Drosophila melanogaster: one gene and its partner. The protein of the gene in region 2 purifies or fractionates together with the protein of the main gene of each other region. This does not show direct contact. Each region holds a gene or a part of one and is shown on either strand. Other genes may lie near its edges. The genes, in order: ImpL2 and Ilp4.

Region 1 (3,949 bases), 5.6 Mb from region 2:
CAGACACGGTCTCGGCTAATGGAACCTTGCACCATGTCAGTGCCACTGCACCTCCTCCTGCGCCAATCCGATCCCCAAGCTAAGCAACCACTCTGGAGACTGGGCCAAGAAAAAAAAAAAAGAAGTGGTCTGTTCTTGGCCAGACATTTGAATGCTGCTCGCACCGTCAACGGGCTTTAAGTTCTGATTCCCATGGGTGGTTATTAATTGGGAGATTGGTTATGGATTACAAAATTAATTCGTTCGAATGAATTCGAAACCATGGAGTTTTAATTAATGGTTTTGACAACTACAGTGCTAATTCAGTAAGCTAAACGAATAATATACGGTTGATACTTTGCACTTCGTCGAAATGATTCATGAATATTAACAGAGTAGTGTGAAGCACCTTTATATGTAGGGTTAATTAATTTTACTTACATGTGATAGAAAGTCATAGGATCTCGAACACTGTTGTATGTTCTCAACAACTTGCATAAGATGACAATGTTAATTGTCAAGATCGAAATGAAATGGTATATGGGCTGGAAAGTCATTGAGCTATCCTTGTGAGACACCTCAGTTTCCAAACCACCAACTCTGGACTGCGGACGCAATTAGGCGGTGGAAAGACAGATCCCGAGGCGGATAATCGAACCCCCCGTCCGGTTATATCTGTTTTGTTCCGCACCTTCCCGGTGCGGCGGTCGCATAAAGAATTACGATCCGAGAACGAGCAGAGAGAGAGCGGCGAGTGAGTGAGAGTGTGTGTGTGTGTGTCTGTTGTCTGTGTGTGTGTGTGAGTGAGCCGGCGTCGCATATAAATGGAACAGCGCTGCGGCCACCAATTCAGTTCTGTTACAGTTTCCAGCTGTTGAACACGACTTTTGAGAGCCGCCGAAGCCAACTGATCCGAAGTTAACTAAGCCGATCCGCGATCCTCGCTTTTCAATTCGCCGTGAACCGCATTCGCAGCAGCAATCCCCCCCAAAAACCAAAAACCAACACACCTTGACTCGAGTGTAATGTCGATGAACCGTGCGTATTCAAACGAGTGCCGCGCCAACCAGACAACCATCAAGAAGTACCAGACCAAGTCCACGTCCACATCGAAGGAGCACTGATACCGCCACGAGGATCGAATGTGCCAAAGTAGTCAGCTAGATATTCGCTACGCCGCCTGAGATTAACACGCTTCCGCTACCCAATTACTCGATCCTTATCCCGATCCTGAAGCGCCACTCCCGAGCACAGCACCCAGACGTTTCAATACGATCCATCCTCGTCGCCCAAGACAGACCGGCAAGCAGCCAAGATTCCACCAACACTGAGCTGCACGACCTCCAAGACGGCATCCAGCGCCGGACCTATGTCAGTGCTAAGCCAGCTGCTGCTCAACTTCAACCAGAAAGCCCAGACCAGGAGCCATCACAACATAGAGCTGATAAATTCGTTCATAACATAACGATAAGCCGACCTGCTTCTGCTTTACCTGATCTATCATCGTCCAACGTTGGGGAGAAATTTGCAAACATTTTTTACCGGAAGAGAAAAAAGAAATCAAATCAAAGGGTGAGTAATGTGCGTTAACAATAGATAGGTGATTGCCGCCGAACGCAGTTTCGTGTTCCGTTTTTCGTTTGTTTTTTTTTTTTCAAAATTCGAATTCGTAGAAATGCCCAAAGATACAAAAATCACCGTCGAAGGGCAAAGACCGTCTGATGCAACATTCGCCAGCGATTGGCGAATGACTTTTTGTGGGGCTACTACTAATTCATACATACAAGCGTATGTACATACATAATACCCTCGAAACTATTTGAATAATTAATCGGTCACGCAGTTTGTCCAGTCTAGACTATGGGGACACATTGGCCCTTGATCTGCGGCTGAAGCGTGGGTGAGTGTGTGAATCCGAATCGGGCTGTAGAATTCGAATTTAAATTGACGTCACACTCCGCGAGTCATTCCGTTTTCCGTTTTCGATTTCTGCCTCTGATTCGGCCCACGCAAGAATCTTATATCATTTTCTTTTGTCAATTCTTGTTGTCTGGTGACGTGTCATTGTGAAATACATTCATCTACGTTTGGACCGAGCACATCTCTTAGGGGCCGGAAAAGGATTCCGAATCTAAATTCCGGACTCCGAGAGCCATTAGCACATTTCGCAAGTGTTAGTAATGTTCTAGAGCCCGCCGACTGAAGGCCTTGCGTTCTTATCGGGGAAATAGACTCGGAGACCTCCCCTGATTAATGGAGGCGGTGATGAGTGGGGGAAGTGGGGTGGTGGGGTGGTGGGGGGATGCATGACTGGCTGAAAAGTCGGGCTAATCGCATCACGTTGCTCTGGGGTTTAATAACCTATATTAGAGTCGTACGAGTGCCGCTGTTGAACTTTGAACTCACTTCCGATTTCCACTCTCTCTATCGATCTTGCAGAAAATGAATTTACATGTGTGCGCCTTAGCGCTGCTGCTGTTCGGCAGCATCGCCACTGTCCGCGGAAGAGCCGTGGACCTGGTAGACGATAGCAACGACGTGGATAACTCCATCGAGGCGGAGGAGGAGAAGCCACGCAACCGAGCCTTCGAAGCCGACTGGCTCAAGTTCACCAAGACGCCGCCGACGAAGCTGCAGCAGGCCGATGGAGCCACCATCGAGATCGTTTGCGAGATGATGGGCTCCCAAGTGCCCAGCATCCAGTGGGTGGTGGGTCACCTGCCCCGCTCGGAGCTCGATGATCTGGACTCCAACCAGGTTGCCGAAGAGGCGCCCAGTGCCATTGTGCGCGTCCGATCGTCGCATATCATCGACCACGTGCTGAGCGAGGCCCGCACCTACACGTGTGTGGGACGCACTGGCTCCAAGACCATCTATGCCAGCACTGTGGTGCATCCTCCTCGCTCCTCTCGTCTGACGCCGGAGAAGACCTACCCGGGTGCCCAGAAACCGCGAATCATCTACACCGAGAAGACGCATCTGGACCTCATGGGCTCCAACATTCAGCTGCCCTGCCGCGTGCACGCCCGTCCCCGCGCCGAGATCACCTGGTTGAATAACGAGAACAAGGAGATCGTCCAAGGACATCGCCACAGGGTGCTGGCCAACGGCGATCTTCTGATCTCCGAGATCAAGTGGGAGGATATGGGCAACTACAAGTGCATAGCCCGCAACGTCGTCGGAAAGGATACCGCCGATACCTTCGTGTATCCCGTACTTGTAAGTATTCCCCTACCCGCCGGGTTATACCAACTCATCCTAAGTAATCCCTACGTATTTTTCTTGTCCTTGCAGAATGAGGAAGACTAAAGATCCTACCACCAAATAAAAAACAAAAGGCTATTGGATTGACGACGGAAATTCATCTAGTTAGTTAGATAGATCAAATGCCTTCGAAGATGCGTGAAAAGAAATGAAATATGCTTAGAAAAAATACAAAAAAAAAAAAATCAAAAAAAAATATGATGGATCAAAAGGTCATACGATTTACAATTATGTACAATTTAGATTAAGCACAATCTAGCTCGTAGTCCAGGTAATTAACCGTATCTAATGCCGGCTTAGACACTAATTTTCCCACTTATTATCCTCGAATATCAGTCACATTTAGAGCATTCGAATTATAGCACCTACTTTATGGTTTTCTTCAATTATAGCTTTAGTTATCGGCTTGTAATCACGCTTCTTTGGTTCTTTGTAAGTAGCAATGATTGTTCCTAGCGATTCAGGCAGCACTAGTTAACGTATTTAAACTAATTGGCCGTTTACTTAAGGGCACTGCAGCCCAAGAAGCACTTATGACTCGTGGCACAAGCCACAGTCAATCAACCAATCAATCAGTCAATCACCCACCCAATTCGTATTTATGTGCACCCATCATTTCTACAACTAATTTATTGATCGACCAAATTCATTCAGCATCGCCACCCATACAGAATCACTGAATAGTATTCACGGAATTAATCAGTTT
Region 2 (3,438 bases):
ATCTTGGCTCAGTACCTTCGATACTTTATGGTTTCCCCAAGTCCCTTTTGCCAATGATAAGCCAACTGAGCCTTTTTTCCGTCCGCAAAAAAACAGGTATTAGTATAGATTTTTACCTGTAAGAACGGAATTATTATCATTTCAAAACCCTTCGGTTGAATAGAGTGTTATCTTCGGAAAATCCCGCTACTGATTGGAAGTTGTTTTCTAGTTTTGATATCGCTCCTTCGATAATAACAAAAATTATGGATAAAAAGGAAGCTGTAAATTCGAATCTGAGTGTATTACCGAGTTCGTTTTGTCTCCACCTTTTGTTTTGCTTATTAAAATCAGAACGTCATCTAATTAAAAATTCATATTTTTCATTATTGTTCTCGGAAAACAAGGGCACCGCACTCGAGGTGCTGAATGGCAGCTGCTTGTGGGTGGCTCGATGGTTTGGGTGGCTTCGGGTGGTTTGAATAACAAGGGGATTCCCCATGCCTCACAGCTGGAATGCTGCAGGGCGTAGAATGTAGAAAAAAGCAATGGACTCTTCTTTTGTTTCTGCTGCTGCTTGGAGAGTAACTTTATTTGCCTCCACTAGAAATTTTACAATGAAATATTTGGAAATACGATTACGTTTATAGTTAGGGGTTAAGTGTAGTAGGAAAATGAATTGCAAATAGCCTGCCGGTCGTCGGGTGTTTTCCCCGTGCCGCCACACAAAATCTCAGCCATGTCGTGTTCATCTGGTACTTGGTTTTTGGGATCTGGTTTCTGGTTTTTATTTGTTTTGTTTTGCCATCCTGGTCATCAGGCGCAGTAGTCCAGTATATCGTCGTAGGTGCAGCCCTCCTTGCAACACTCGTGGGCGATGCGTCGCCGATGGCGTCGCAACTTTCGTCCACTTCCGACGGCCGGTGGCACACCCTTCTCCGTATCCGCATCCGTATGCTTCTGCTTTAACCTTCCCGTTTCCGTTTCCTGTTCAATGTCCTCATCCGGCTGCTGTAGCTTACGGATAAGGTCTCGCACTCTAGCATCCTTAGACGCTTGTCGAAAAGAAGTTAGATGTATGGAAGCCAATCGAATATGCATAGTACCCAAACTTACCACTGCTCCGCCTGACACGGCGTGTAAATCCATTAACACAAATCACATCCAGTGCCTGGATCAGAGCCTCGCCGCACATCTTTCGGCGTCCCTGGACCGGCTGCAGTAACTGCGACACGGTGGCCAGCAGGAGCAGCAGCGCCAGTCCCAGTCTAATCAGGCTCATCCTGCTCGATCTTTCACTCCGCCGTCCGTGCTCTCACCGGGCATAAAAGGTATGCCTCCTTTATCTCTGGTATCTCTGGGTCCTATCTCGAACTTCTCGTGCTCTTGGCAAACCGATCGCTGGGCATGCCAAATGATACTGATCCTTGGAGTTGGCCGGCGCTCAAAATGTTGACTCGCTAATTGACTTTTTGACTTCACGTATTGCGACCAGGTAGAAAGTTAAATTCGGGCCAGGTCAGTCAACCAACCAAACAGTCAGCTGCAGGAGATTTCCATTTGAACTACCAGGTTTTTCTTATTTTTGTCGCTCGACCAGCCGGCGGGAAAATGCCCCGCGAAAGGAAATGGCCTTTCCCGGCCAGGAATTGCCCGACTTAACCAAAGTCAAAGTCTAATCTCGATCCTTACTTTACGAAGGGGAAATACATACGAAATTGCTCAGGACATAAAAATTTGTTGTGTAAAACTGGGATATAGATTAAACTTTTCTTAGCAAATAAAACAACAACTTTTACATATATCTATGGGTATTTAACTAACACATTTACTTGATTCTACTTGTTTGTTGACAGGCTACTTCTGGCACATTAGTGACCTCCACCTTGACACACTCTACTCCACGCAGGGCGACATATACAGAAGCTGCTGGGAGTTAGCACGATCGGTTTCCGGCTCCAATGCCAATAGTGCGGCATCGGAGCCACCTGGTCCCTTTGGACACTACAACTGCGATAGTCCTTGGAGACTGATTGAATCGGCGGTGAAGACGATGAAGGCCAAGCAGGGCGATAATGTGGAGTTCGTTCTGTGGACAGGAGATGCCCTATCCCATTCGGCTCAGCCGCTCTCCGAGCAGAAGCAGCACGAAATCCTGCGAAATATTACAGAACTGCTCGGACGCAGCTTCTCCTCGCAGTTCATATTTCCGGTCTTGGGTCACGAGGACGGCAGTGGCAGCTATCGCAGATTGGGCGAATTGTGGCGGCACTGGCTTCCCTCCGAGGCTCTGGTGACCTTCGATCAGGGCGGCTACTATTCCATCGAACAGACCAAGAGTCGTCTGCGCATTGTGGCTCTAAATACGAATTTCATGCGACTTGATCCCGATCCGGATCCAAGGGCATCGCTAAGTTTACGATGGCCAGCTGAATATTTTGCCGAGCCCAAGGCATCCGTGAGCTCCATATCGGCAGAGGATGAGCTGCTGGCGGAGCAGCAGTGGCTCTGGCTGGAGGAGGTGCTCACCAAGTCCAAAGAGAAACAGGAAACGGTAGGAGTAACTATTTTAAACAGTATATAGTTGGAAAAATAGTAATGTAATTTAAAATCAGCTTTTTTTATGTTAATATTAATTAATTCTCATTTCAATCTACTAATATCAGAATGTGTCAACAACCCATATTTACAGATAAATTAATGAACTCATTATTTTTATACTTCGAAGTTGTTATGAAATTATTGATAAACTAAACTCGCTTTATTTTTGCACTTTTTTAACGTAAATTAAATTAAATTTCACAAAATTTAAGGCCACAGTTTAATGTTTGCTGCTCGTAAAGCCAATTTTTTTTTCATAAAATTAACGAGATAACGCGACGAATATGTAAATATTCAATATTTTTGTCTTACCTTGACCCTTGCATATCGCATGCCAGTAAATCCAATCGGATAGCCAACTGCCCTTTTGATTAATTATCATATTTAATTTGCAACAAGAAGGATTGATTTCATATCATTCGCCGCTTGGATTAAATGAACCGAATCCGTTTACTCATTGTCCCAACCAGGTATACATCGTTGGCCACATGCCACCAGGTGTTGATGAACGTCACCTGGGCACCCAGCACAACCAGTTGACTTTCACGGAGCGCAATAACCAACGTTACCTGGACATGGTCCGCCGCTTTGCGCCGGTCATCCAGGGTCAGTTCTTCGGACACCTACACTCGGACACCTTCCGTCTGATCTACGATGCCAAAGGTTAAGTACTAGTCTGACCATTTCTACAGCCATAAAAAACTACTTGAAGATTAGTACCACTTAAAGCATATTATTATTAACTTTTAAGTGGATAATAACTAAATATCTCGGAAATACATGGCTTGTGAAGATCATTCGTTACATTTTTGTTCACAACTTAAAATGGTTTCCTTTTCGGCTGACAGGCAATCCCAT

The links.
Region 1: the proteins of Ilp4 (region 2) and ImpL2 purify together in Drosophila melanogaster (affinity purification with western blotting, with the first as the bait; one study listed by BioGRID). This does not show direct contact.

The regions. Positions count from the first base shown.
Region 1 is NT_037436.4:4,224,176-4,228,124, reverse strand, and holds ImpL2 (Ecdysone-inducible gene L2), read left to right. Parts: upstream 1-2,174; 5' UTR 2,175-2,232; coding exon 2,233-2,241; intron 2,242-2,418; coding exon 2,419-3,198; intron 3,199-3,273; coding exon 3,274-3,288; 3' UTR 3,289-3,415; downstream 3,416-3,949. Other genes in the region: CG46460 (uncharacterized protein), read left to right, coding at 1,349-1,444. UniProt on the Drosophila melanogaster protein: Essential developmental role during embryogenesis, in particular the normal development of the nervous system. May be involved in some aspect of cell adhesion.
Region 2 is NT_037436.4:9,802,853-9,806,290, forward strand, and holds Ilp4 (Insulin-like peptide 4), read right to left. Parts: upstream 1,412-3,438; 5' UTR 1,262-1,411; coding exon 1,096-1,261; intron 1,035-1,095; coding exon 796-1,034; 3' UTR 547-795; downstream 1-546. Other genes in the region: CG32052 (uncharacterized protein), read left to right, coding at 1,836-2,533, 3,051-3,243, 3,429-3,438. UniProt on the Drosophila melanogaster protein: Possible ligand of InR/insulin-like receptor.